Linked DNA regions of Danio rerio. Each later gene encodes a partner of the first gene's protein in a complex. Links are inferred from orthologs where the notes say so. Each region holds a gene or a part of one and is shown on either strand. Other genes may lie near its edges. The genes, in order: eftud2, sf3b5, ppil2, rbm48, cwc22, crnkl1 and rbmx2.

The links.
Region 2: eftud2 (region 1) and sf3b5 share a complex: the UniProt entries of both Homo sapiens proteins name them as parts of the minor spliceosome. The link is inferred for Danio rerio from reciprocal best matches to the Homo sapiens genes EFTUD2 and SF3B5.
Region 3: eftud2 (region 1) and ppil2 share a complex: the UniProt entries of both Homo sapiens proteins name them as parts of the minor spliceosome. The link is inferred for Danio rerio from reciprocal best matches to the Homo sapiens genes EFTUD2 and PPIL2.
Region 4: eftud2 (region 1) and rbm48 share a complex: the UniProt entries of both Homo sapiens proteins name them as parts of the minor spliceosome. The link is inferred for Danio rerio from reciprocal best matches to the Homo sapiens genes EFTUD2 and RBM48.
Region 5: eftud2 (region 1) and cwc22 share a complex: the UniProt entries of both Homo sapiens proteins name them as parts of the minor spliceosome. The link is inferred for Danio rerio from reciprocal best matches to the Homo sapiens genes EFTUD2 and CWC22.
Region 6: eftud2 (region 1) and crnkl1 share a complex: the UniProt entries of both Homo sapiens proteins name them as parts of the minor spliceosome. The link is inferred for Danio rerio from reciprocal best matches to the Homo sapiens genes EFTUD2 and CRNKL1.
Region 7: eftud2 (region 1) and rbmx2 share a complex: the UniProt entries of both Homo sapiens proteins name them as parts of the minor spliceosome. The link is inferred for Danio rerio from reciprocal best matches to the Homo sapiens genes EFTUD2 and RBMX2.

What each region holds. Positions count from the first base shown.
Region 1 is NC_133178.1:15,079,925-15,083,994, forward strand, and holds part of eftud2 (116 kDa U5 small nuclear ribonucleoprotein component), read right to left. Parts: intron 2,940-4,070; coding exon 2,768-2,939; intron 2,681-2,767; coding exon 2,602-2,680; intron 2,529-2,601; coding exon 2,453-2,528; intron 2,307-2,452; coding exon 2,241-2,306; intron 1,463-2,240; coding exon 1,427-1,462; intron 1,348-1,426; coding exon 1,257-1,347; intron 1,139-1,256; coding exon 1,056-1,138; intron 836-1,055; coding exon 669-835; intron 513-668; coding exon 388-512; intron 1-387. UniProt on the Homo sapiens protein: Required for pre-mRNA splicing as component of the spliceosome, including pre-catalytic, catalytic and post-catalytic spliceosomal complexes. Component of the U5 snRNP and the U4/U6-U5 tri-snRNP complex, a building block of the spliceosome.
Region 2 is NC_133188.1:27,081,891-27,086,423, reverse strand, and holds the start of sf3b5 (splicing factor 3B subunit 5), read right to left. Parts: upstream 3,022-4,533; 5' UTR 2,846-3,021; intron 1-2,845. UniProt on the Homo sapiens protein: Component of the 17S U2 SnRNP complex of the spliceosome, a large ribonucleoprotein complex that removes introns from transcribed pre-mRNAs.
Region 3 is NC_133180.1:13,584,533-13,589,205, forward strand, and holds the start of ppil2 (RING-type E3 ubiquitin-protein ligase PPIL2), read left to right. Parts: upstream 1-1,530; 5' UTR 1,531-1,638; coding exon 1,639-1,670; intron 1,671-1,975; coding exon 1,976-2,025; intron 2,026-4,673. UniProt on the Homo sapiens protein: Has a ubiquitin-protein ligase activity acting as an E3 ubiquitin protein ligase or as an ubiquitin-ubiquitin ligase promoting elongation of ubiquitin chains on substrates.
Region 4 is NC_133194.1:42,804,474-42,809,134, forward strand, and holds the start of rbm48 (RNA-binding protein 48), read left to right. Parts: upstream 1-1,400; 5' UTR 1,401-1,477; coding exon 1,478-1,603; intron 1,604-1,739; coding exon 1,740-1,930; intron 1,931-3,782; coding exon 3,783-3,928; intron 3,929-4,012; coding exon 4,013-4,572; intron 4,573-4,661. UniProt on the Homo sapiens protein: As a component of the minor spliceosome, involved in the splicing of U12-type introns in pre-mRNAs.
Region 5 is NC_133184.1:45,364,142-45,368,211, forward strand, and holds part of cwc22 (pre-mRNA-splicing factor CWC22 homolog), read right to left. Parts: coding exon 4,013-4,070; exon of another isoform or gene 3,922-4,012; intron 3,394-3,921; exon of another isoform or gene 3,208-3,393; coding exon of another isoform or gene 3,187-3,207; coding exon 3,134-3,186; intron 3,050-3,133; coding exon 2,951-3,049; intron 578-2,950; coding exon 323-577; intron 1-322. UniProt on the Homo sapiens protein: Required for pre-mRNA splicing as component of the spliceosome. As a component of the minor spliceosome, involved in the splicing of U12-type introns in pre-mRNAs. Promotes exon-junction complex (EJC) assembly.
Region 6 is NC_133195.1:52,274,813-52,279,544, forward strand, and holds the start of crnkl1 (crooked neck-like protein 1), read left to right. Parts: upstream 1-1,562; 5' UTR 1,563-1,613; coding exon 1,614-1,661; exon of another isoform or gene 1,662-2,117; coding exon 2,118-2,270; exon of another isoform or gene 2,271-2,974; intron 2,975-3,204; exon of another isoform or gene 3,205-3,236; intron 3,237-4,732. UniProt on the Homo sapiens protein: Involved in pre-mRNA splicing process. As a component of the minor spliceosome, involved in the splicing of U12-type introns in pre-mRNAs.
Region 7 is NC_133196.1:41,946,993-41,950,681, forward strand, and holds part of rbmx2 (RNA-binding motif protein, X-linked 2), read left to right. Parts: intron 1-58; coding exon 59-110; intron 111-210; coding exon 211-340; intron 341-2,512; coding exon 2,513-2,693; intron 2,694-3,689. UniProt on the Homo sapiens protein: Involved in pre-mRNA splicing as component of the activated spliceosome. As a component of the minor spliceosome, involved in the splicing of U12-type introns in pre-mRNAs.

The DNA.
Region 1 (4,070 bases):
AGAAAAGAAAGGTTTGCACAAATCGACAGGACATTTCTATGTAGTGTACTTGTTTCTGTTGCTGTCAATAGTGCTACTGTGCTTTCATGGCATACAATGGTAAAATAAAATTCACTGTAAATAATTTGGTTATTTTATTAGTCTTGCATTTTTTAAAAATCTGTATAATTTAAGTAATTGGATCCAATTAAAAGTCTTACAAAATCAGTTTTTGATCGTGTGTCCAGAATTTTAGCTTTCTGCCAAAAACTTTAATTTCAGTGCATATTTACAAGTTTAAGAATTAGATGTATTAAGTCATCTAAAAACTACATTATTCATTTTACATGTTTGCATAATATTTTTTTTATTAGAGTGCTGATCATTAAATTAAAAAAATGATCTCACCGTAGGTGTCTGAATAGATTTTGGCGAAGGAGCCGAGAGTAAAGCAAATGCAGTACTGCGAGGAAGCGAAACAGACGTTCCCCAACAGAGGCGACACAATCAGAGACTCATCTGTAGAATATGTGCTGCCAATGAGAAAAACAAACACAGTCAGACAAAACTGCTAACTAAAAACAACAGATCTCACAGCTATTGCTTCAAACGTAAGCAGGTGAAACACAAATAGTACCATCAGCATGCTCGATCAACCAAAACAATTAATTTCAAGTACTGTGGGGTACCTCAGCAAGCCGTTGACCTCATCCACAATGTGGCGCAATTTGTAGTAGGCATCAGTAGGGGGCAGTTTGAGCTCCACAATCAGACGATCTATTTTATTAATACAGATAGTGATGGCCAATCTCTCCTGCACTGCATGCTTGATCAGTCGCTCAGTGTTCAGCATTACCTGAACATATCCAAACAAACAGTTAAAGGCATGCTAAAGAAAGATTAGTCTTGCATAACACAGATAGTTTAATATACAAACTATTCAGTGACTAAGATTTATTTATCAGTGTATTTTAATGACAACAACATAGTACTTACAGTCTTGAAGCGAAAAGCAATATGCATGTGTGTGAAAAAGCACATAGGCAATATTTATGTGTGTGTGTGTGTGAACTCACCCCCTCAGCAGCATCAATAAAAAGCACAATCCCGTCAGATAGTCTAACTGCAGATGTCACTTCATCAGAGAAATTCACATGACCTAAAGAATGTGAAGTACGAGAAAGAAGTATGAGAGATAAAATCACCTGTTCTTACATGCCGGTGCACAAATGTATTTAGTGTGCATCTGTAAGTGATTTTATAGGGCAGGAAAGTACCTGGCGTGTCCATGATGTTGAAGAGGTAGGATTTGCCCCGTGAGTCCGGCAGCACCATGGTTACAGGAGTACTCTTGATGCCAACCCCTCTCTATCAAAAAGCAAAAAAAAAAACTTTAAATAACATCACTGAGAGAGAAATGTTTAATCAATATCCTATTTCAGTTTACCTCTTGCTCAGTGAAAAGGATATCTGTGTATCGTAACTGTGGAAAGAAGAAAACACCAATATTTTAATACATCACCACATGACTGTAAAGCTGAACAAACAAAGAACGCCTCAGTGCAAAATGTTGCTATAAATGAGTAATAACTCATGTTTTAAATTTATATGAAACTACAGGTGTGCGGAAGAATGCACATACAGTGTATATATAAACACTGTTTTGTTTTTTGTTTCCCCTTTAATAATAACTACATGAAGTGTTTAATTGTGTTTCTCTGACAAATATATACTTTATTTTAATAATAAAGTGTGACAAACATGCAAAATAATAAAAAATTAGTAAGGGGCAAACACTTTTTCACACCACTGTACATAAACTACTACAATATTACTTTTATTAGGAGTTGTTTTTGTTTTATATACTTGACTCCGGAATAGGCAAAAGATGATAAAAAGAAGATGAGTCAAGTATACTTCCATCATTGTTTAAAGTAAAGAAAAGATTATGCTTGATGTTCTTAGTTTGATTACTTTTAACTATCTATCTATCTATCTATCTATCTATCTATCTATCTATCTATCTATCTATCTATCTATCTATCTATCTATCTATCTATCTATCTATCTATCTATCTATCTATCTATCTATCTATCTATCCATCCATCCATCCATCCATCCATCCATCCATCCATCCATCCATCCATCCATCCATCCATCCATCCATCCATCCGGTCTAAATGTATGCATGTATTTTTCCTTCACAAAGAAAAATTTATATATATCGAAACAAAATGCAAATACTTATCTATACACTTACATCTTCGTCATCTCTCTTACGGATTTCAGGATGAGTCTGTTCAATGAGGCAGTCTACAAAACATGTCTGTAGGGACAAACAAAAGCATTTTTAAATGCTTTCAAAATGACTACTGAACTGAACACATACAACTTCTGAAAACCCCCACATGATGCTCCTTAATTAATTAGACATCATCTAAAAAACTGAATCAGCATAATGAAGTCTTTTACCTTGCCGTGGTGTAAGTGTCCACACAGTGTGACATTTCTGATCAGTTCTGAGCTGTCCATAAGATCAGCAAGGAATCTATCAAAAGATATATGCATGTAAGCTTATGCAATTCAAACAAAGAGGGGAAAAAACCCAATCATAAACTCACTCCATGTCATAGACGGTCGCTGGAAGCTCCTGCTCCATCAGAGTAAACTGCTTCATCCTCACAGGTTTTATAATGGGCTCTGAGGAACAATTAAGTCAGATACATTGATTTTCCACTGAGTGTGCATGCGATAAACAAACTGTTCTTCCACCAGCGTGTCTGTTACCTGTCAGCGGCTGTGTATCTTCTTCTTGAACAATAGTTTCCACCTCAGGACCATACACTTCTTCAGCAGTGGGATAATACTTTTTATCCTCATGCAGAACCACCTCCATACCACCACCTCCTCCATCCTCATCAGCCTCAGCCTGGTCATCATCGTCATCCTCCTCATCCGCCTGTTTTAAGAAAATGTACATCAAATTCAAGGAGCTGATTTTTGCATAAAAACAACCACTGACTCTACACGCTTCAGCTGAACAATTTAAAGGGGGCCTATTATGCTCATTTTTACTAGATGTAAAATAAGTCTCTGACATATAGCACCATAGTGCTCAGGGCGACCCGAGTTCGATTCCCGGCTTGAGGTCCTATGCCCATACTTCCCCTCTCTCTGCTCCCAGTGCTCCCCTCCCCCCAAAACATAGAAAAAAAACGTAATAATTATAAAAAAAAATATTCCACAAATAACGCTTCATAACTTTTTGAAATGACCCCTTTTAGGCTTTGATCCTAATTGTGTAATTAGGCTTTATGTGTAACTGCTCTTCTGGGGTCTCATTGATGAACATGGCATATGCACAAAATGGGCAGAAATATGCGTTAGCCACTCAAAGGTTGTGATCTATAAGCTTGAGAGGAGAGTGTCCACAGCTGTAATTAATCTCTAAGCAAACATATTTAATTTAAATATTGATTTAAACCACTTTAAATGAGCTAATCATCAATAAATAAATTACTTTATTCTGATGTATGTTCCTTACTAAGAACTTGTCTATGCAAATTTGATAAATCAGAGCCCTGGCGATTTGACCTGCTACTTTTGTCCTCATTTAAATGAGTTCTGTATATTAATATACGTATAATTTAGGAATATGGTATATTAACCCTTTAACTGCTCCACCAAGAAAAAAATACTATGGATAGCATTTCTTAACTCATAATGTCACTAGTCAACACATCCAATGAATTTTTTTTCAACATGCGACAAAATATCAACCATTTGGTAGAGGTTGATGTGTCCGTTTATGGAAAAATTACCGGAATTAATACATATCCAATGAAAAATCTGAAAATATGAAGTGTAAGACATATTTATTTAAAAAAAATATTCAAAATAAATTGTTTTTGAATACTATATCATCTTTATTTTTTGAAGTATGCCAAAAAATATTTCAGATTCTCATTTAACATGTTTTCTTATATATATATATATATATATATATATATATATATATATATATATATATGTATGTATGCATGTATGTATGTATGTATGTATGTATGTATGTATGTATATATATATGTAT
Region 2 (4,533 bases), on another chromosome or scaffold:
TAGGGTGTAAGTTTTCAATGAAGGTGCATGCGCGAGTTGCACAACACGCACATGGGAGCAATGTGCACATGGTGTGCAAGCAACACACGCATTTTCAAGGTACACTTAAATGAAAAACATCAGAACTTTAAGAAAGCCGCAAGTCCTAAAGCTAACCAGTCAGCTTCACACAAAGCACACGCATGTTACTTCAGGTCAGAATAACAGCAGGCATAAAATGAGTGCCATAGAGCAGCAGTGAAGAGATTGTAAATAAAAAGGATGTAAGGATGTCGCTAGAGAGTCTTTCTGGTTTCTTTTCTTGTGCATCTCAGCCACTAGCTCCCCATGTGAAAGATTTTTTTTAGCTTAGTGGGTAATGAAGTCATTCAACCTCACAATTTTGTAACATGTATTTGAATAATGATGGTCGGTTTCTTTACTTGAAAGCTCAGATTTGATTATCATAATTTGTTTTGTTGACAGAGTTTAAGGTATGAATAATGATACAGTAAACCTCAAAGTTTGCTTTAATTGTTCAGCGTTTACTCTTTGCCATTGTGTACACTTTTTAACATTTTATTTATCAAGTTTAGGAGTTTCTTTACCACTTATATTTATATAATAAAGAGATCAGATAGTCTGTTTAAATATTTTGTTCTTGACTATTAAAACTATTTGCCTCAGTAATGTTGGTAAATTAAAATAAAGTGGTTAAATAAAACAAATCCTAATATTCACAAATGTACTGTTAAAAATATTCAATAGTTATCTATATCGAACTATATAAAACCTGATATTGTGATCCTTTTTTTGCAATATTGCCCAGGCCTATGTTGAGCTTGGATTATAACTCATCCTTTTAAGTGTTTTTTAAGGGTCTGTGAGAGTTTTAAAAGCGTGCAGGCCTCAGAAATTGAACTGTTTTTAACTTTGACAAATTCTATTGAATTGGTTCTAATACGAAGACTATGCAGTATTATTTTACATTTTAATTACTGTATACCTGATCACAGTTTGACTCCTGGAACAACAATAAAACGCTGTTTATATAATTCCATTTTTTTTGTTAATTGTAGATCGTTTATATTTTATGCATATGCACTCCCCTACAATCATCCTAATCAATCTAACTCACTATGTTAAATTTTTCCAATATCATGCAGCCCTATGACACTGTATCAGACATACTAATGTGCTTGTAAAATAATAAAAATAATCAAATCATTATTATTTTACAAACACATTGGTATGTCTGATTCAAAAATAGGAAGAATTTTGTGTTTTAGCCATTGTAAACGTCTAAATATCCTTATTTTGTTGTTCTCCAAAAACTACTATTACGGTATAGTAATATTTAGGGCCTTTTATGATCCGTTTTAGGAGACAGGTTTGTTTTAATGTAGCGCAATAAGTAAATCAATAAAATTAACAAATTTAAAAATAAACTATAAATGCATTATGTTTCAAACTAGAATACAGATCTGATCAATAGCATAGAACAAAAATAAATAACTTATTTTTCCAGTGTTTGCATAACAGTATGCAAGTATGCAGTATTCTACAAGTACTACATATCTTTATCTACACATAGACTGCATTCCATTTGAATTCTTGCTTCGTAAAGCGCTATACGGTTTAGTCTCAAAGACGCATTGGGATATAAATGCAGATTCAAATCCAGATTGATAAAATTGACCAAAGAAGTCAAATGTGGATCATTTAGCATGTTGTTGTAGCTCAGAGGTATTGCACATTTACAAAGCCAGGGTTTCTGCAGGTTTCACCAGGTCTAATTTAAAACTTTTAAAGACCTTTTTAAGACCATCAAGAATGAGATTTCAGACACATATAGGTATAAACGCAATAGGTTTTTTTTTTAATGGCCCTGCAGGAAAAATAAAATTATATATATTTTAAATAATGTGTCAAATAAAGCAGACCCTAGTTGTATATATGCATTTTTTTCAACATAACTTAAAAAAAATAACTGTTAAAAAATTTAATAAACTATTGTATGCACAACACGATGTTATAATATTGCTTATAAATAGAGCTTTGCTAAAAGTTTAATTGAGATGTATTGTTAATGATTGGGTGTGTGTTGGGTTGATTGGGTAACCTTTGATACAAAAAAGGAAAATTAAAGACCGTTTTAAAATTATTGAGGCTTACCTACAATACCATATTTAAATAAATTTAAGACTTTTTAAGGTCTACAATTGTGTTTTGGAAATATAAGACTTTTTAAGATAGAGGTAAAGTTGGTTTTATATTCAAACATTTGTTAGAGGTAAAGTTGGTTTTATATTCACACATTTGTTCATTTAGATGTGTCTATAATGTTTACCATGTTACTTTCAATATTCGATCGGAATTAGCATGCAAGTGTGACTTGAAAACAACATTAACACTGTTTATTTGACAGGGAACAATGTTGTACTTTGAAAGTCATTGGCTGCTAATACGATTTCGCCATTTAGAGTTTGCAAATAATACTGTTATGAAACTGTATTATTAAGGGGAAAGTCAGAATGTGCTAATATAAAACTAACTTTAACGTTACCTCTATCTTTTTAGGTCTCCGCGGGCACCCTGAAAGCACGCTTGACTTAACGCAGTATGACTAAATGCGTGCGTTATTCAAAATTATGAACATTTAAAAATATGAAAAGAAAAAAATAACTTATTTCATAAATTAAAACAAAGACCAATCATCATAACGTAAGCTAACGTTGCGCTGTGAACAAACTAACTTAGGTATGCGAATGTGGCAAAATTACATTACTTCAAAGAATGCAATTATTTTTCTCCTTCGGCTAAAACTAGTGGTGGGTATTTCTGTAAATATTATCGGTATGCTTACCTATAATGAAAAACTGTGATGTTTTATGGAAAAACGAATGAATGATTCCCCCAGCAGTTATTGTACACAATGGCTGTGCGAGGTGACTTCAACCGGACCGGAAATAGTTACTCTGAAATCTGTATGTGTGGAAAATATCACTGCAGTCAAGAGTTCCGCTCTGGTGGAAAGCGCTGCTCATGCTGCTGGGCCTTATTATTGTGATAACGACTTCTTATCCTCCGTATTACATATACCTTAAATGTGGGATGTGTGGAGGTGGAATATTGATTCTAGCTTACATTATATTAGCTTACGTGACTATCATAAATACTGCTCTAGGAAATTTCAGAGGTTTGGAAAAACAGTCAGCTTAGCAACAGCTTGAACATTTCACTGATAATAATAGAAGATAAATGTGTAATAAAATAATGTTATGTAAAATCTCTAGGTTATATAATGTAATTACATACATTGTAAAAATCCTCCATAATAGGTTTCTTGCATTACCCAAAGAGCACCAGGGCTTCTGACTGACTTGATATTGTTGCTTAGCCTACGATCAGCAGTCTAAATGAAATTTTAATGTTATTATTAATTTAATGTTAATAATAATATTAATGTTATCAAGAGAAGTTCCTAATTCAACTCTATGTCTGACTGAATTATATTATGCCAAAAAATCCACTAGTTGTCACAAAGTCAATCAACAGCACTTCTTCAACATTTCTTCTACCATTGATTCATAAACAAAGAAATCCCTCCTGCCATGTGAACTGTTTTTGGTGGAAATTTGCAAGGTAACCTTATTTTTTTCTCGACATATTACATTCTAAAAACTTTACAAAGTTATGTTACTTGCACATGACCACAAGGTATTATTATATATCATATATGATGACTAAAAAATTATTTCCAGGACATTTTTGTTCACTGTTCTGTTCTTGCTGGTTGAATCCATTTCCAAGCCTTGAATCTTGAATCCCTGTCAATATCTGAGAGACAGCTGAAAAATACTGTGTTCCATCAACACTTAATTGCAATCAATCAACCAATCAATCAATCAATCAATCAATCAATCAATCAATCAATCAATCAATCAATCAATCAATCAATCAATTTTCTCTTTACATAATTTCTCTATTCTTGCTTTTATTATTGTTAATAATGCTTAATTATAATTTTACATCACTTTTTCACATAGATGGATACGTGACTGCATGGGCATTGCGAGTGTTCGTGTCCATAGAAATGTATTATCCTCCCTACCTGTTAAATTTGATCTAATCCATGTCCTGAAACACACTTCATCGTCCACTTCCACTTCTAATGCCAACTAAGGGAGCAATTCGTTTGTGAATGCATCTCTGTTGTGAACAATTTGTGTGAACTATTGATATACCTGCTTTAATGTGCATAATATCCACCTTTCTGATCTAAATGGTATAAAATTTGTAATATTCAATAATTCTGGGTGGACAGTATTCAAATTAATGTCCAGATACTGTAATGGTATCAGGCACCCTTATAAGTTATTTAAAAAACTAGCATTTACTTCACTTAGCCAACAATAATACAAGTTTCTTGTACATCAGCATCTTGTTGTCCTGTTTCATCTACATTGTTTGCTTATTTTATTCAACAAAACTAGCATAAGCCTATAGCATTTAGAGCACGTAGGTGCTAATTTGCCTAAGACGGCAGTAAGA
Region 3 (4,673 bases), on another chromosome or scaffold:
ATTAAATAAATAAAAAAAATATATAGGGAACATATAAATTACAATAAATTTGTATAGGAAATTGATTCCAAAATTGCATACATCCTTATAGTTTTTTTAATTATTAAAGTATTTTAGGTTTTCAAAATAATGCGTAAGATGAATTTTAAACAAATAAATGTTAGGTTTATCAATGGACCACTTTTGTTTGTGCATAATAGAGTACACCCCATTTTGAAAATGAATATTTTTCTCCATTTCTTAGTGAATATAGGAAATGTATGTTGGTGCATTTAAACAAAACAGAGTTATTAAACAGATATATTTATTAAAAAAATATTTTGGTCACCAAACATATTTAAAAATTGAAAAATAATACAATTAAATTCAAGCAAAATATTGTGAAAAATGTACAACTTACAAAATTTCAACTAAATTTTTCATTTTATTTTTTTGCTTCTCTTGATTTTTCCTCTTTTTTAAACTTATATTTAATATTTTTCTCTAACATATACATTTGACTGTACTCGGTTTTTTGACCGTCATCATAAGTTATTTAGATAAGCTCCAGATTTGGCTTCAGTACTGACTAATCTAATGTATATGCACAAATATAATATTATATAGCTTCCTATTAAAAATATGAATTTAATAGAGTGATTTGTGAGGGGTGTAGCCTATATGTTGAGCACTGTATAATCATTAAATTAATAAACAAAATTTGCTCCAAAGTTTTATTATTATTATTGTATGTCAAAAACATCTTTACAAGAAAACTGCATTTTTAATTTTGTACGTTTAAATATAACATATTTAACATCAAACCAAAACATTTGGGAATATGTGCATTCAATGAGTATTCAGGTGTTTCAGCAATTCCTCTAATTCACAAAAAGAACATGCAGATTGCATGTCTAAAACGTTTTTAACAACTTGTTTCACGGGATAGATGAAATGAATTAGTTTATATGTAGGCCGCGCGGTGGCGCAGTTGGTAGCTCTGTTGCATCACAGCAAAAGGGTCGCTGGTTCGAGTTGACGTTTGTGGCATTTGCATGTACTCCTCATGTTGGTGTGGGTTTCCTCCAGGTGCTCCGGTTTCCCCCACAGTCCAAAGACATAGCTATAGGTGAATTGAATAAACTAAATTGGCCGCAGTGTGAGTGTGTGTGAATGAGTGTGTATGGATGTTTGCCAGTACTGGGTTGCAGCTGAAAGGATACAACATACGTAAACATATGCTGGTTAAGTTAGCGGGTCATTCCGTTGTGGTGACCCCTGATTAATAAAGGGACTAAGTTAAGCCGAAAAGAAAATGAATGAATGAATGAATTCATAGGTTTCATGTTTTTTTTATTTTGTGATCAACAAACATCAAACACTTTAAATATCCCCCTCATTATTGAGTATTATTCAGACATCCCAAGTTGAGCATAGACATAATTTACAGTAATTAAAAAACGAATTTTATGAACAGTATCTCAGTCAAAACCGAAGAGGACCAAAAAACATTTTGTTGTTTTAGGTCGGTTGCATTTACCGGTCGCGCCTAGGACACACCGGAAGTAGAGTATTTAAACAGTCGTGCGTTTGTGTTGCTTGTTTATAAACTCCTGAATTTTAATTCTTTTATTTAGCACCACCGCTTAGGTCGCAAAAATGGGGAAAAGACAGCATCAAAAAGACAAGATGTGAGTTGCTGGAGTGAAATATGACACGTTTGCTAACGGTTGAATTTTATTATTTCACTGAAAACTGAGTACGCTTCTTTAACTGTTTGCGTTGTTTGTATTATTTAGGGTTTGTAATGTTTTAATTTTAATTTTGGGACAGTAAGTCGTTCTTCATTCAGCTGCAACGACGGCATTTTGATTAATGTTCATGTATTAGATTCAGCGACGTAACATGAATTATCTAAAGAATGCAAATATGTAAATGACGACGTTATACTCTTTATACAGCTTTCAAATGATTTATTCAATACTCTGTTTTTCAGGTACATTACATCTACAGAATACACCCAGTTTTATGGAGGGAAGAAAGCAGGTATTTGCGTTAACCTGATGTAACGTTACTTCAAGTCATGTCAAGCTTTTGGGACTGTAGGACGTACCATTTTTGTTTCTTTATCAAATTAAATATAACTTATAAGTTACATAGAAAACATTTGAAATGCAAGAAAAGTGTCTATTTGAATATAATTTCACATATTGGTGAAATAGAAATAGTGTTATATCATTTAGCGTAAATATATTTATGCATATAGTCAGTAACAATTATGTTTGGGAAAATTATTCAATAAAAAAATAATAAAACACAAAACAGTTGTCATTTTTCTAGTGGGTCTATATATATATATATATATATATATATATATATATATATATATATATATATATATATATATATATATATATATATAGCAGTGTGATATGGCTGTATATCTGGTGGGAGATGTGCGTTGGCATGAGGCCGAGTGCCTTAGTGCCCCCGCCAGTGCCGATATACAGCCATATCGCACTGCTACGAGTGTGATATTGCGTTTATACAACAGTTTAACGGCATAATTGTGTATATAAAAACAAAATCAAACATGGAGATTCTCAAAAACCCTTTTGTATGAGGAACTACTTTCTTCCACCTTGGATTCAAATCATAAGCTGATAGCTAAACAGCTGAGCAAGCATCTTTTAAACTTTAGATCTGTAGTGTCTGCTTTTTTGCTGGTTGTATGTGGGCGGAGTAATACACAAAAAAAAGAGGTAAAGAGGCTTTACTGGTGCTGAAATTACTTAAATATATCACGGCTATTAGCCAATCAGATTCAAGAACCAGACAACTGTTGTATAAATATATATATATTGCAATAACTTGTTTGAATTTAAATATATTATCTTTTTATTGTTAAAGGCACTAGGTATCCAAACTTTTATTTTAATGGATAAAAATATTTTGTTTAAATGCACCAAGATTATTGGCTGTATTTTCTAAGACGTGGATAAAAATATACATTTTCAAAAGGAGGTTATACTCATTTATGCTGAGCACTGTACAGGGTTCATACGGTCATGGAAAACCTAGAAAAATCATTGAATTTTGACTTGACATTTTCCAGGCCTGGAAAAAAAGGAAAACCCACAAAGTTTTGTAAAAGTCATGAGCTGCGTCCCAAATGGCACGCTATACATTAAGCACTATGTACTTATGCACTAACACAGAGGTTCTCAAAGTGGGGGTCGGGACCCCCCGAGGGGTCGCGGGACAATGAATGGGGGTTGCCTGTTGATTTTCAAAAATCAATTAATTTTTATTAAACCTTAAGACTAACTGTATTTTATCAATAACCTACTGATGAGAAAAAAATAGTTGTTTATAGTTACTATAAACTATATAGTTACTATAGTAGCTTATAGTTACTAGTTCTATTGGATTGCGTCTTCTTGAGTAATTACATTATACTAAAGACACAGCAATACTGTCAGATGCAGCAGATTTTGGAACACCAGGTTAAACTTTCTAACCCATTTACAGCACTGACATACATAAAAAAAACAAAGAATAGACTTGGGTCTATTGGTGTGTGTGCGTCATTGCATACAAGGTTTCTGTATTTATAACCACCACCTCAGAGAATATTGGGGGTCACGAGTCACTGGCATTCTCATTTTGGGGGTCGCGGGCTGAAAAGTTTGGGAACCCCTGCACTAACACACTCAACAGCATAGTATATGTATGTATTGTCGTCCCAAATGGAACACTAACTGTTATTTTGCTAAACGGAAATTCAAACCATTTCCCTGATGACGTTTGATGGTTGCCATATTAGTAAAATAAATGACCAAAGGACCAGATAATATATGCAAGGATAACCGCATTCACCTTCGGGAGGCGCTATAATCACTCTTGTAGGATAATTTTGCTTTCACAATTCAAAATAAATAAAGTAATCCAACATGTGCACCCTATACCAATGCTCCTTCCGCTATGTGAGCAAATCTGAGATTGTTGAGTGCGTGAAGTGTCCAACATTCCACACTTCATTGTAATAGTTGAACGAGTGCATCATCCTGGTATTAAAATGCACTTATTATTTATAGAGTTTTCAGTGTGAACACACTACTTGCACTATTTATACTACAAAATGGCGTAGAATAGTGCGTAAGTATGCGATTTGGGACGCACCTATGGAAAACAGATATCTGTATACTTATAGGTTAGAATATAGGTTAGTTGTCTTGACTTCTATTCTGTCCTTGGCCAATCACATTCTCACATTATTAGTGTGGTTGTAAGCATTATCTACATAAGTTTTACATAGAAATGAATATAAATTTGGCGTCACGGTGGTGCAGTGGGTAGCACAATTGCCTTACAGCAAGAAGGTTGCTGGTTCAAGCCTTTGCTGGGTCAGTTGGCATTTCTCTGGGAGTTTGCATGTTCTCCTGTGGGCGACCCCAGATTAATAAAGGGACTTGGCCGAAAAGAAAATGAATGAATGAGTGAAATATAAATTTAAACTAAATAGATTGTTGTGTGTTTTACAAAGTGCCGTAATAAATTTGAACACTTATTGTTTTTCTTTTGTAGACTTTCTATATGTAGACATTGCATGGAACATTAGGTCATAAAAATTTACTTGAAAGTCATGGAAAAGTCATGGAATTTTTTAGTTGTAAAAATGTGTATGAACCCTG
Region 4 (4,661 bases), on another chromosome or scaffold:
ATCTGTTGTCATACCTTATGAAATAGCAGCCTATGATAAAACCATTTTATAAAACGGATATGTCCAGTCCTTGCTGCTGATTGGTCATTAGCCGGGTTTTAATTACAACTACAGTAATGATCTTGTAGCAATACTGTGCAAACATGTCCGTGTGTTAGTATTAATATTTATTAAATGAAATATGAGTAGCCCCGCAAAATGTATGTATACGTTATTCATTTATTTAATATGTGTGTGTTTTGGGGTTAAAACTTATCCAGCTGCAGATATACACACGTTTCAGGCACACACGATCTAAGTTAGACGGGTGTTAATGTTATTAACCTCTTCTCGGACATCATCAATATATTTTACACATAAGGTTATTGTTAATATGTATTGTATAGGCAAACACTGTAAACAATAATGCATAGGCATACCATTTCACAAATATAGCGATCAAGACGGGCGAATGGGGAATAATCACCATTCAATATAATACACTGAACAGTTTTCCATCAGTCATCATAGATGATCAGTCATTATTTATCTGACAAAGTCAACATAGCAGATTCTCGTTTGCTCAAACATTTTAAACGATCTAATTTGGACAGGTTTAATTTATTTAATGGATGCATAATGAATGAAATATAGCTAATGTACAGGATAGGCTAATAGCCTACATCATTATATCAATGTAATGTACAAATCTTTTTACATTTAATAAATGTAAAACACTGTTAATCTTTTACTCCAGCAACTGAATAGTATATATTTGCTTAATTTTCTAATAATTTTTATAATGATCTCCCACATTAAATAGGCCTACTAGTAATTTATAGTAATATATTGAGTTCACCCCAAAAAATCAAATGGGCTCACTATTTACTCAGAGGTTCAGGTGGTTCCAAGCTTTTCTGAGTTTCTTTATTCTGCTGAACACAAGAGATGTTTTGAAGAATGCTGAAAATAATTATATGGAAGTTTTGTATTATATGTATTTTTAAAAATCCTAATTTGTGTTAAGAAGAAAGTAAATCAAAATGGTTTGGAACAAGTCAACAACCTAGTAAATAATGACAGAATTTTCGGTTTTGAGTGAACTAACCCTTTAAATGGGTAAAAAAAGAAGCTTGTTTTAAACGTTAAAAACTTAAAATAAATTTATAATATAGTTTATAATTAATTCGTCTGCATTTATAATAGTTGCGACATTTTCTGCGAGTTAGCATCTTACAATTTTGACTTTTGTCCAAATCTTTTTGATATTTATTTTATTTTGTTAGAAGTGTTTATCATAATTTGGATGTGTAAATGAATTATTATTATAATTATCATCGTCATTATCATTATAATATTTTTTTATCACCATCATCATTATTCTTCTTAATATTATTTTTATTAGCATCCTTTTGGGAAAGCGGGCTTTTATTTATTTTTTCTAATTGGAACTTTTATTTTGAAAGCCTGTTTTTTTTCGTCGCTGATTTCCACAGTGATGGACGGGTCAGTTGCTAGTTCCTCTGTGTGGGACACACAAAAAGTGTATAAACATCACGAGCAGCAAAATGTTGCCCAAACGCGACCAAAATACAGAGAAGGAAGACGCCTCAAAGCTGTTAAGGTCGGTTTATTTTATAAATGCCTTTATCTCATCGAATTGTGCAGCGTCAATGTAAGCAGTCATGTTGTCTTTAAGGTCTCTCTCACAAGAACTGAATCTCTGCTTATAAAAATAATGGCTGAATCGCTAATTTTAGGTGTACACCATCAACCTGGAGTCTCGGTATTTACTAGTTCAAGGAGTGCCCGCTATTGGAGTGATGGCTGAGCTGGTGCAGCTGTTTGCTCTGTATGGAGTGATCGAGGAGTACAGGCCACTGGATGAATACCCAGCAGAAGAGTTCACTGAGGTTTACTTAATTCAGTTCCAGAAGTTGACGAGTGCACGGTAAGAAAAGGCTGATTAAATCATGTCCCATGCGAGTCTGTGCCATATATTATATATTGTGCCATATTTTTCTTGTTGATGATATAATTTCAGAAAAGTATTCTTTGCATATTCTTAATAGTGAATCAAATTAGCAGCTAGTGACTATCAAAGTTCAACATTGTTCACAGTCAAATAAATAGTGGTAATGCTGATTTGAAGTCATACTTGCATGTGATTTCAAACCCAATATTAAAAGTACCATGGTAAACAATATAGGGAGCATGTCACAAGTTGTCATTGAAAGAATGTGTGAATCTAAAACCATCCTTACCTCAATGTACCATGTTGGTGCACTGCAGAGTCGCATTCACTTTTAGTTAAAGGGATAGTTGACTCAAATACTGTAACAATAACAATTTATTCACCCTCAAGTGGTTTGAAACACAAAGGAAGATATTTTGAAATCTGGAATCCAGTAACCATCAACTTGCATAGTAGGACAAATAAATAGTATTGAAGTCAATGGTTACCGGCTTCAAGCTTTCTTTAAAATATCGTTTGTGTTCAGCTCAGACGATGTTTGTGACATGTAACGGGTGAGTAAATGATGTCTATTTTTATTTTGGAGTGAACTGTCTTTGTAGGTTCCACAAAATGTGACTTAAAACATTATGATTCATTATTAAAATATTAAATAAACACATATAGAAAACTATATACAGTACACACACTACCATACAATTGTTTGGAGTCTTCCATTTTGAAAATGATTTTGAAAGAAGCATCTTATGCTCACCAAGTCAGCTAATATTTTTTTAACTAAAAACAAAGCATCAACAATCGGATGTATTATTACATTGTCACATTTTCTATCTTGTTTAAAAGTGTAATGTATTGTGTTGAGGATGAAGGGTAATTTTCATGCTTGGTACTCGCATTTATACATGGTTATTGTCACATGACTCTTCGGAAATAATTAATTTGCTGATTTGTTGTGCAGTATATAATTTCTAATTATTATCAATGTTGTAAAGTTGCACAACTTAACATCCAAAACATCTAAGGGTTTTTTTTTTTTTTGTTCAAGATTCTTTAATGTTCTTTAGTGTCTCTTTCTCTTTAATAACACTGTAAATCTCTTTACTGCCATTAAACATTTTAAGAATATTATAAAGAGTATTTATTGCTGATAATTCTATAAATACTTTTTTACATATTTTTTCCCCTCTAAACCAAAGCAAAAATCAAAGAATAATTATTTCAAATATATGGAATTAAGTAATCGTAGTTATTTTAATTATATTTTAATAAAACTATATATTTTTAGGATAGTGTCAAAGTAAAAATAGCTGTACTGGGATTTTTAAAAATATGCCTGACAAAAATTGTTTTTCTTATAAACTATTGTTACACTGAATGACATCCACTCACCGGCCACTTTATTAGGTACACCTTACTAGTACCGGGTTTGACCTCAGAACTGCTTTTATCCTTTCTGGCATGGATTTAACAAGGAGCTGGAAATATTCCTCATTAATTTTGGTCCATATTGACATGATAGCATGTCATTGAGCAGATAGGATGGATCCATGCTTTCATGTTTGAACTGGAGCAGATTGTCTCGACCATGTACATGCATAAATGAATTGAGTTGCTTTCATGTAATTGGCTGCATAGAAATTGGTGTTTACGAGCAGTTGGACAGGTGTACCTAGCAAAATGGCCAGTGAGTGGATATTGCCATGCTATATATATATATATATATATATATATATATATATATATATATATATATATATATATATATATATATATATATATATAATTTTTTTTTTTTTTTAAATTAATTAATTAATTTATTTTTTTACAGGGCAGCTAAAAGGCACACAGATGAAAAGAGCTTCTTCGGGGGTCAGCTGCATGTCTGCTATGCTCCTGAGTATGAAACCGTGGAGGAAACAAAGCAGAAATTACAAGACAGAAGGAGATATGTTAACTGGGCAAGCCGAAATGCAGGTATGGTAATGCATTGGTATTCTCTCTAAATAAATTGCATGTGTAGAAAGTCTAACAACTATCATATGCTTATTTTGTTTTCAGCACAACTACACAGTCAGCAAGCGGAAGTAAACACAGAGTCATCATCAAGCACAGACACACGAACAGCTGAAGCTCCTAAAATGCAGAAAAACCCTGAAGAAGCCAGAAGGGAGAACGTAAATTCTGACTATATGGGATTTCCTCTGTTGCCTTTGCCTCCAACAGCAGATATTTCTTATAGACTTCAAAATCATTTTACCCAGCCATCACAATTACAGTGGACCAATGAAACGACAGAGGATAAAATGGGCTCTCTGCATAATTTCATCCCTCCTGTACAAAAAACCTCAACGCAGAGTGAGTCTTCCTCATCTTCAGGTGTTAAAGAGGGAGATTTGAGGCAAAAACAGAAGATTTCCACTCCGTCTATTAGATTTATGCCAAGGACTACACATTTAGAGAGCAGAAAAAGGAAACTAGATGAACAAACCTTCTTTTTGAAAGAAGCAGATAAAACGGGGGTTCTGATTGGTCCAAAATTACCAGAGCTGCCCAAGTTGGACATGGAAGATTCTTCGTTAAATGTTACCGCCAATTTGATCCGTAACACCATGACCAAGGTTAGTTTTCTTATTACTTTCAACAATATTGGGATTGTTAACCCAATTTTAAGATTCACCTATTACAGTGCATCAGGAAAGTATTCTTA
Region 5 (4,070 bases), on another chromosome or scaffold:
CATGTTGTTCATATATTTGGACATTTGTATATTTTTCACATTTGTAAATTAAATAATTTTGTTGGCATTTCCGTAGTTTGTCTTTTTAATTCCATTATCACATAGTAAATTGCCAGCGCTTAAATGTTTTACCTTTTACCTTAGAATAACATCAAAGAGGTTGTAACATAAAAGTTAATTGTACTTGATATAAGACAGTGAAATTTACTAGTGCAAAATGTTATGAAGGTTTTATTAAGTAAATCTTAAGAGTAATTTTTTTTCAGTGAGTAGATATTAATAAACATGAGTGTGTAGAACTGGTAAGTAAAGTGAAACCAACCTGCTCTTGTCAGTGATCTGAGCCTGCATCATCCGCAGTTTGGCCGGTGGGATATAGGCCCCACCGGTGCGGGTTAGGATGGGGTCCAGCGTTTCCTTCCTCTTCTTCACTGGAGGCTCCTCAGTGGGAGGTTTATCATTTTTGTCTGGAGAGGCTGACCTTCCCCTCCTCCTGTGTTCCCAATCCCTCTCTCTGCTGGAGCGCCGCTCGTAACGCTCCCGATCACCATAACGGTCCCGCTCTCGCTCCCTGGACCTGATGCAAGGACAATAGAGAACAAAAAAATGCCAGAATGGAAATTTGCAAGTCAGGGAACTATAGTTATATGGGTTTATTTTAATAGTTATTAAATTACAAAATTTTAAAAACAGTCAAAAGGACTGCCTTGGTAGTTCTAGTGCAGAAGTGCCCAAACTTTTACTTATAAAAAAAACAAAAAAACAAATTTGATTGAGGGCTGTGGGCCGAAGGTAAATATAGCAAACTGTATTACATTAAAGTTGCTACAAGTAATTTCCTAATTTATTTTGCTAATATTAAAAAAATAAATAAATAGAAAACACTGCTTTATTTAAACTAATGTAGTATAATTTATAAAATAATACATATAATGAACATTTTACAGCAAAAACAATCATTTATTTACACAATAGAGTTTAATGCTGAATACACAAGTCAAGCTTTTGCACTGATTTGTTTGCAATGTTTTGTGCATTGTCCTCTATCCATCGAGTATTTAAACAGTATTTAGTTACATGTTTTAAAAATCTGATTCATTTACAACATTTAATTGAAACATTTAATTTCAGTTTGCTTTGTTGTAGCTGAACATTTGAAAAAAAAAAAAGATTACGTTTAATTCAAAATGATGATCTCTGTTAAAAGCAATCTCCCCAACATTCTCCTCTTCTCAGATGGGATGGTGGGCCAAATCAAAGGGCCAACTTTGGCCTGCGGGCTCTAGTTTGGGCATATCTGTTCTAGTTCAGTTCCCTTTCACACTGAAAAAGAAAATAATTCAAGCACCGCATTTCGCTTGCTAGTATACATGTATGTAATATCAAAGTTCCTTTAAGGCAAGTCATTTCACTCGGTAGCCTTCTTTAAAACTTTTGAAATTCTCCAAAACTGTTTAGCGAAGCTTCTGTCTCATAAATTTAGCTTCTAAATCATTGGTTCCCAAAGTGGGGATCAGGACCCCCTGGTGGGTCGATGAACAATGACAGGGGCCGCTTGGTGTTTTCTAAATGTCAAATTAATTTTAATAAACTATTAGAATTTCGATATTTCATCCATAACACACAGAAAATAAAAATAGTAATTTATAGTTACATAAAAACAACAACATGCGAATAAAAAACCGTCAGCCTTTCAGTTATTTTTTTTCATAGTATTGTTGTGTTTAATTTAACAACACAGCAATAGTGTCAGCTGCAGCAGATTGATTTTATACAGGGTTCTTACAATTTTTTCTAACTTCAAATTCCAGCACTTTTCAAGCACTTTCAAGGTGCATTTGTATGCTTTTCCTAATAACCATGGTAAAATATGTTTATATACGCTGTATGTACTTTTTTACATTTAAATCCATTGTGCTATTTTTAAAAACACAATATGACATTTCAACTTAAACTATTGAATACTTTGGAGCATAGATTTATTGGGATAATTCACCCAAAAAATGGTTAATATATATATTAACTCTTTCTATCAAAAGTTGATATCTCAAAAAATGAGCTTACAGTCAGATTTTTTTTGGGTGTAGTAACAAGTTGACATGTTTGTTTAAAACTATTCCTGAGTGCTTCGTTTGGCGTTTCTCTGCATGAATGTCTACTAAATACGCGCATGCTGTGAACATTTTGCAGTGAAAACTGGTCGCACTGCAACAATTTTATACACTCACACAAATGTTCCAAAATATATTTGGACCTTGCATAGATAATATTTCAGGTGCATATGCAATCAAAATGGACACAATTTTGAGCCCTGCAATTTTAAATTCAAGCAGGTTCAAGCACTTTGTCCAAAATTCAAGCACTTTTCTTACCTGAAAACACTATATTAAAAATCAAGCATTTTCCAGGATTTCCAGCACCCGTACAAACCCTGTTTATAGCACCAGGTTAAACGTTGACACCTTTATGGAAATCAAATACATTAAAAATAAATACAGGCCACAACTTAACTATTTGAATGATCTCTGATTGGTGGTCTTTAAAATTAAACCAAGAATAGACTTGTGCAGAAAACATTGTGCCCAGTGGTCTCAATAGTTGAGGTTAATATTAAATTAAACAAATAGCAATATAATAGAATTAGGCATAATAGATGACTATAAAAATTTGATGATTGTTATAATGTTGCACTTTTTTTGTTGTCTATATGCTTGAATTTATATAGGCCTACTGCTGTGTGCGCAATGTTTGTATATGTATATTTCACACCTATATTTTTACAGGAATTTGGGGGTCACGATTCACTGCCATTGTTACTTTGAGGGTAGGGGGATGAAAAGTTTGGAAACCTCTGTTTTAAATGAATCAGATGGATAGTCCAGAAAAATACAAAAAAAATGATGGCAGCTAATCTGTCTGGGACATCTGAATTGCACATATTTCCACTTACCTACGAGCCCTTCTATAACGTTCACGAGGAGAGCGAGATCTGGAGCGAGATCTGGAGCGGGATCTTGAGCGGGATCTTGATTTTGACTTCTTTTCATGCCTGTAGTGGAGACAGATGACATTTTTGTTAAAAAAAGTCTTATTTCTGCATTGATTTTGCTAAGTCGATGCTAATAAGATTTACCGGTCAGGTGAGGAGCTTCTTTCTCTGTTTTTGGTCTCTTCATCAGAGGTACGCTGAAATGGACACAAGAGCATAAGAAAAACAAAGCCATAACTCAAGCACTAGGTTTGTTGACTAGCTGTGTGTCAACAGTGTTTGTTTTATTCATGATAATAAACAGCATTTCATAAGACCTGTGTGAGAGTTTCTTGGCAATGGCATGAATCAAATTCAAGTTTAAACACATTTTTGTGAGATCTACGCATTTAAAGTACAGAATTCTAAACCGTTTTCATTATTGATCATCAATGGCCAAATAAATTAAACAATCTATAAATCAATACAGTTGGTTTATTAAGAGACAGAAAACAAGTAATGATATTTCACAATATTCTGCATGAATTTATTGTATGATTCATTCACTTACATTCCATATAACATATAAATCATTTTTTTTGTCAGTACACATTTATTTATGTATTTTTTTTTGTGTGTAAAAAAATATATAATTTTTCACAGTACTGAACATTTTACTAATTACTTTTATTCAGATGATTATTTCTTCAATTTATTTTTAATAAAAACTTAAATTTGAAGTTCTGTTTGTTAAAACCAAGTGTCTTGCAGTACTGTTTTTGTAATAAATGGAAAGCAAATTACATTTGTTTCCTCCCCTTTTTGGCTGATCCGAAAAAAGGTCAGATTAGTGACTAAAAAAAAACACAAATTACATTAACACAAATTAGAAAATAAATAAATAAATGTATACTGACAGAAAATAAATTATAAGCCCAACTGACAGAAATTACAAGCAATCAATCAGTTTTAATTATGAAAATGCCTAAAGTAATGATATTTCCATTACATTATATTTAGAAAAATGCTGTGTTTGTGACTCACCCTGATATGCATGACACTGCTCCTAATCTTACGCATTACACCGTCATCACTGTCACTG
Region 6 (4,732 bases), on another chromosome or scaffold:
AAAAAAATTGTATTTAATATTTTCCTATAAAATTTTTTGGCTTTTCTAGTTTTTGGGCCGTTATTGTAAGTTGTTTTGTTTGATAAGCTCCAGATTTGGCTTCAGTACTGACTAATGTATTTGCACAAATATAATACTGCAGCTTCCTATTAAAAACATGAATATAAAATAAAGATTTTTGAGGAGTGTATGGTACAATACTTATTACAAATTACCATGTATTTTGTATTATGTTGCTACTTTTGTTAAAATTATTCACATTTAACAGATTATATAAGTGGTATGTAAACATTCGAGCACAACTGTAGACGTAATATACAGTTGAAGTCAGTTGAATTATTAGCCCCCTTGTTTATTTTTTCCCTAATTTCTGTTTAACGGAGAGCAGATTTCTTTTCAACACATTTCTAAACATAATAGTTTTTGCTAACTCATTTCTAATAACTGATTTATTTAATTAATCATGATGACAGGTAAATAATATTTTATTAGATAATTTTCAAGATACTACTATACAGCTTAAAGTGACATTTAAAGACTTAATTAGGTTAATTAGGTTAACTAGGCAGGTCAGGGTAATTAGGCAAGTTATTGTGTAATGATCTGTAGACAAAAATATAGCTTCATGGGGCTAATAATATTGACCTTAAATTTTATTTTATTTTTTTATTTATTTTATAAAAACTGCTTTTATTCTAGCCAAAATAAAACAAATAAGACTTTTTCCAGAAGACAAAATATTATCAGACATAATGTGAAAATTTCCTTGCTCTGTTAAACATCATTTGGGAAATATTTAAAAAAGAAAAAAAATCAAAGGGGGCTAATAATTCTGACTTCAATTGTACGTTATATGTTTTTCGTCTGTGTGCACGCACAGACTTATTTTGGTAAACAAATAAATAACAACTCTTTACGGTTATTTCATACACAATAACAAGCAATACATAATTAACAAATTAATAAAAATGGACATTCACTTACATTAAAGATAGGTCGGACTATAAAAAAATCTAACAGTGAGCGAATAAAGTTAAATAACATAACGTTACATGTAACTTTACTTTGAGCCTCGTCACTAACCTTTATAAAAACAAATAAACATTCACACACATTGAAGAAAATTCGGTTTAACAATAAACAGATCTAACAGTAAACAAATAAATAACAAACGTTTAAGGTATTTAATTGAGGTAAGTTAACGTTATTAATGTAAAATGTTGAGTTTTGAACTCAGTCACTAGCCAATAATAGGCAAAAATATTTTAAAACAACAAGCATTCACTTACATTGACAAAAAGTCGATACACAAGCAACATAAAACAATTAAACAGGTATTTTTGGTGTATAACAATAAAAAACTGAGTTTTAACAGCCTCAAACTGCTGACCTTTTATTTATTGATAACGTTAACCGCTAGCAAGCGTCCTGTCACCATGGTGAGATGCTCCGTGACGTAGATGCAGGCAAAGGTCACAGCGCGTCACGGCAGGCGCGACACACACGGCACTGAAACGTCGCTAACCTTACAGGTTTTAGCGGGCTTTCGAAATCTAAAACACAAGAACATACGTCTAATTTATTTTTAATAAAGTGTCAGGAGCGTAATAATCATGGCGTCCACCGCGGCGGGCAAACAGAGAATCCCGAAAGTGGCGAAGGTAAAACCTATATGATGTTTTTGTGAGTTAGCATTAGCATGTAAACAACGTGAAGTCGTGCTGACGTTACTTAATAATTAACTACTGTATATAAATGTGGTTAGTGGAGTTAAGCTTATTTTTTTATAATGTATTTGTGTTTGTGTTCAGGTGAAGAATAAACCCCTGTAAGTTAGCATTAGCATGTAAACAACATGTAGTTCTGCTAACGTTACTTTATAATTAGTTAACTGATGTATAATGTGTATACATGTAATCAGTTGAGTTAAAGGTTGTCTTGCTTTGTAATGGTTTTGTATTAATGCTCATGTGAAGAATAAAGCTGTGAGTTAGCATTAGCTTGTAAACAACGTGAACTTGTGCCACTCTGAAAATAACAACTGTATAATGTATAGAACTATAACCAGATGGGTTAAAGATTGTCTTGTTTTGTAATGGTTTTGTGTTTGTGTTCAGGTGAAGAATAAAGCCCCTGCAGAGGTGCAGATCACCGCCGAGCAGCTGCTCAGAGAGGCCAAAGAGAGAGAGCTCGAGCTGCTGCCACCGCCACCCAAACAGAAGATCACCGATAAAGAAGAGCTCAATGACTACAAACTGAAAAAGAGAAAGGTATGAAATGTTGTATCACCATGTAGTATACCATGGTGTCACTATATGCATATGTCATAAAGTAGTACTAAATTACTGTGCATGTACTGAAAGCTTGGTTCTGTCATGGCATATGCCTCAAAAATATACAGTAGTGTCACAATTGCTTATAGAATGTGCGCAGTGCTATCATGATGTTCAGAAAATATGGTATTGATATGGTGTGTAGATTATAAAAGATGATATCGCTATGGTTTAAATGTATTATTTTATTATGGTAAACCTCTAGAAAACATGGGCATTATCACAGTGCATATTCAGAAAACTCAGAGGATATGCAATGTCTTGTTGGGTTTATAGTTGACCAGAAGACAGTTTATATATGTATATAAAGTGGAAGTCTGCCTGTGTTTTATGGACTGCCGCTGTATGAACATTTCAAGAACGTATAAAGCATCCAGGTGTAACGCTTCTCTTCCTGAAGACGCAAATCACTCAGGCGGACACAGAGAACTGCGTTCTGCGTTGTTTATTCTGTAACAGAAATATACATCCTCTGGCAACAGTATGCATTTAAACATGCATCGCCTTTCTGCATTCAGCAACCATTTTCTGCTGTGTTGCCACAAAGTCATTTTAACAAAACATTATTTATTTACAAAAGGTTAACATACCTGTAACAGAAATATACATCATCTGGCAACAGTATGCATTTAAACATGCATCTAAAAAAACCAAACAAATAGTAAGAAATCACCCTTGCACATATTAATGTCATCATTCCAGCTACACCTAGCATGAGCAAATTAAACCACACAAAGTTTGTCACACACGGCAATCACTCGACAGATTTGATCTAAAACATCACTTAATGTTCATATTGGGCTTGTATGTGTTATTAATATGTGTTAAAATACAAAATTTGTCACATTTAGCTGGAGCACATTTTACCTACCGCCTTTCTGCATTCTGCAACCATTTTCTGCTGTAGGCGGGGTTTTGCAGGTGAAAGGTGAAAGAAACAATTACACACTGTTGCCACAAGAGGTCTCTCAACAGCCACAAAATAAACAAAATAACCCATTTTGGTGAAAGACAATTAAACATTATTTTAACCCTGTTACACAGGCACAAGAAATTAGACCATTTGTACCTTTAATAAAGATACATTTTTAAAATAATTTTTACAATAAAGAAGATGCAGTGTTTTATTTACATTTGATTTTTTTGCAATTCCTGTACCTGTTTGCTGTTTGACAAATTCATAAAGTAACAATACTTGTAATTTTTTGTTATTTTTTTATGCATGATTCAATCCTTTATTGCAATCAGTCTGAATTAATAAACACTTCCCAAATAGAGTTAAGGCATCTGATGGACCTATATTCATTTTGCATTATTTATCACAGAAAAACAAAATATGTCAATGTTTGATTTATTTTTCAATATCTTGCACCCCTAATGTTCATGCTTTGAATATGCTATGTCAACAAGGTACATCTGGTCACAACATGATGTTACCAGTGTAAAGGTTTTGTCAATTTGATGTTTCGCATTTGATGTTCGTTTCTATAAAACTCCTAGTATACATGTACTAAACTCAATAACACATGGTATTATTGTGATACATACTTTAAAAGCTTCATATACATAGTGCATCTGCAGAAAATATGTCATCAGTATATTATGTGTCAAAAAGAATAAAATTATATTAATATCTTAAAGTTAAAATGCCACTGTCAGTGGTATATAATTAGGGGTGCACCGATATGGGTTTTTTAGTGTATATCGATAACTAATAACTCTTCAGACTTGGAGGCTGATAGTCGATATATATAGGTCGATAATTATAAATGTTTAAAAATGTTATATTTTTAAACTTAATAAAAGATTGAACTGCTCTTATGAACTGAAAAGTCTACTCAAACCAAAAAAGCTATAATTTCAAAATTGCAAGGTGGTTATATAGACCTATATTCACGATTTCACATAAATCAGCATGCAAGAAAATTAATTATTTCCTTTTCTTCATAGCAAATTAACATGCAACTTCACTGTTGCATAAAAATAATAGGTTAAATAACAAAACAGGATTTAATCAACAAGCAAGTTAAATATATTTAAATAAGATGAAAATGAAAGAGCTAACAACTGAAACCAGCTCAATTGTTCTTGAATAAAACGTGTTACATTGATGTACATATGTACAAATATGTAATGTTCGAAAAAAAAAAAAACTTTTCTAAGGGTGTTTTGACAGTTCAGAGTTACCGTACAAGCAAAAAGTTGAGTACAGGTTGTATTACTTTAGAAAATGCGGCATAGATTCATCCTATTTAGCGTTTTAGATTCTTTTGAACACGTATAGCTGTAGTGCTTGTCAATCAGACAATGCTTCTGTGTTCGTTCTTGCTGTCAATTGCGGGAAAAATGATCATGAAAAGTTTATGATAAACCGCTGTGAGTTGAACTAAACGTAATTT
Region 7 (3,689 bases), on another chromosome or scaffold:
GTGTGTGTGTGTATTTATTTTAAGTAATGTAAATATGTATATTAATATCAATCTGCAGGTGGATTTCCATATGAGCTGACAGAAGGAGACATCATCTGTGTTTTCTCTCAGTAAGCCAGAGTGTTCATTTTAAACATGTCTTTTTGTGCTAAAGACGTCAGTATTTATTTTCTTTGCTAGTAAAGCTTAATCCTCCTCTGTGAATGTCAGGTATGGAGAGATTGCCAACATCAACTTGGTTCGAGATAAAAAGACTGGCAAATCCAAAGGATTCTGTTTCCTGTGCTATGAAGATCAGAGGAGCACTATTCTGGCTGTCGATAACTTTAACGGAATCAAGGTGAAACGCTTTTCTAGTGTCTTTTTAGTGATGTGGTCTTTTTCAACCTGAATTGTATTTTATTCAGATGCAGAAGAGTTCAGATGCAAAAACCTCTAAGTGCCATCTGAAACGTTCTCCTAAAATGAGCATTTATCTCAGCTTCCTATGTTTATGTTCATATATTTAACTTCAAAGTCAATGAAAATAACTTATTCGTCACTATTTTATCACTCATTTTAGAAGAAAATATCAAATGGCTTTTTGCATCTAAACTTTTCACATATACATATATACACACACACACACACACACACACACACACACACATATATATACACATGTGTGTGTGTGTGTGTGTGTCAGTTCAATAAAAAAGTGGCAGTTTATTTATTTAATACCTGGAAACAAAAAATGCACTTGACTATAGAAAGTGCTTTTTACTACAGTGAACAGGTGGGTTGAGCCTATTTGCCTTATTCAGAACTCAAATGGCTATGCCTGTCTATGGAATACTAGTATACAACCCATATTAGACACTATTAAATTACTACTTATGAATGTAATATTAGGCTTTATATTATATTTATAATATTTATATTTATAATAGATTTTTTTTTCACCATATAAGGAGGTAAGCCCCCCTAAAATGAAAATCCTAAAATCACCCCTAATGGCGGACTTTGTAAGTGGAAAAACTGAAGGCTTCACTAGAAAGAAAACAGTTAAACAGAGCATCTACAGCGCCAGAATGAGAGATGAGCCTCCTCATTGTTTACTTTCTCTTTCACTCTCATGGATAGGGAAAAATGTTGTACGCACAGATTTCCATTGCCCTATACATAATTAATTTTGTTTGTTAAGCACAAAGAGTTGTTTCAAAACTACTTCTAAATTCAATTCTAATTTCCAGCAAACGAATAAATGAACAGTAATAATAAAGTGTGGTCAAAAAACTGAGTTATATCCAAATACACATGCTGTGCCCAATATGGTCTAAAACCTGACAGGTGAACAAATCTAAGCTTGTTTTTAGTAAAACAAATTTAAATATGCATATAATAAATACTACTACTATTAATAATAACATTATACAAAAGCAAATTGTTATGAATAAACTGAAAAAGCCCCCGAGATAAAGAAGAATGAAAGTATGTTTTTTATATTTATGTAGGCTAGAAAATAATAATTTTTGTAATATTTTAATCCTTTATTTTTTTTATTTGTGAAGATATTTGCGTATTGCTGTACATACTCTGTGTATTAAGAAATGTGTAAGCGAGGCGCACAACTAATGCGCTCTGCGCTGGAAAATAGACCAGCTTTGATCTGATCCATTTGAACCTTCTATTTAAGTTCCTCAAAATAGCAACGCGCCAGCAATGCACCTCAACATGCCTCCTTTTTTAGACCTGAACACCTATGGGCGCACATATGAGCGCAAATGCATTTGCTATTTAAACACCGTGGTGCAAAACGTCGAAACGACTCGTGTCGAGCTGAAACTAGCAAACAACAATTGCTTTGCATATGATAGGGCCCAAAGTGTCCAGGCCTGGTCCTCTCTTCTCCTTTTATTATCAAGAGCTCCTCTGTGGGACTCAAAACCAGTGCGGCAACAGGTGCTGCTTCTCATCTCTCACGCTCTCACCCCCGCCCCACTCTCTAGTCTAATAACATTTCTTTCGAATATAAAATAATTTAGAGTTTTTTAAATTGACAAAATAAATGTTTTCATTGTTTTCAAAATCAGGGTTATTGCACCAAATATGGCTTTCTTAACTCCTTTGCAGTTAAGCATTGATATTTTGTGTGTTGTCTAAATAAAAATGACCAGAAAAATGCCTAAAACATGGCAGCTTTTTTTTTCCAATTGTCCTTTTAAGCTCTAAATGACAAATTTATTTTAAATTGAGAAGAATGTCACCTGTTTTTTGCAGAGCAAAACTAAAACTCGAACACATAAATATTTTCTAAGTTCAGAGAAACAGAGACTTTCCAAGTGGTCTCTTAATTTATTTCTTAGTTTTACATGTAAAATGCATAATACGATTTAAAAATACAAATGAATTGTAATTCAGATATTAAAAACATGTTTATCATATATTTAGTTTATTTTTATAATACATCTAGGAAATAATATCATCATGTCATTGCCTTATGTATTTGCTATTTGTTTTATCTACTGTTAAGATTAAGGGCCGGACCATACGTGTGGACCACGTAGCGAATTATCGACCACCGAAGGACACTGATGACATTGATGACATCACTAAACAATTACGCGAGGAGGGATGTGCTCCTAAACCAGTTTCATCCTCTGAGGAAGAGTCTGCGGAAGAGTACGCTGTACCTGTGAAGAAGCCTAAAAAAGGTGAGAAGACTCGTCTGTTGTGATTGGTTTACTGCGTTCAATTCGAGAAAGCAGAAAAACGCCCACCCTGGTTATGTACTATTAAGACTAAAGTGTATATGTGAGCACAAAGCAGGAATGCATTAAAGCAATTCAGTTAAACACCTACAAATGTGGAGGAGCAGCGGCTCTACTCCAAGCTCCTCTCGGGTGAAAGAGCTCCTCACCTTATCTATAAGGGTGAGCCCTGCCACCCTGTGAAGAAAACTTATTTCGGCCGCTTGTATCCGAGATCTTATCCTTTTAGTCACGACCTAAATCTTATAAACATAGGTGAGAGTAGGAACATAGATTTACCGGTAAATCGAGAGCTTTGACTTTCGGCTCAGTTCCTCCTTTACCACAATGGACCGATACATCGAGCGCATTACTGTTGCCGCTGCACTGATCCGCCTGTCAATCTCACGTTCCATCCTTCCCTCACTTGTAAACAAAACCCTGAGATACTTAAACTCCTAAGGACTTTTCTCCACCCTGGAGATGGCAAACCACCTTTTTCCGGTGAAGCACAAAGGCCTCGGAATTGGAGGTGCTGATTCTTATCCCAGCCGAGTCACACTCGGCAGCAAACCGCCCCAGTGCATGCTGAAGGTTCATGTTCGATGAGGCCAACAGAACAACAACAACGTCTGCAAATAACTATAGTCCCTGAACCAGACCCCCTCCATTCCAAGACTGCGCTTTGACATTCTGTCCACTAAAATTATAAACAGAATTGTTTACATAACTAATACAACCTTTTTGTGTGATAAGTGTTACCAAAGCTGTAATACATAAATCTGCTTTGAATACATGAACACAGAGAAATTAGCACAATAAATTTTTTTGCTGGACTTGTCAGCTGCTTTTGACACTGTCAACCACCAGATCCTGCTATCTACGCTCGAGTCACTGGGCGTTGCGGGCACTGTTATACAATGGTTTAGATCTTACCTCTCTGACAGGTCATTCAGGGTG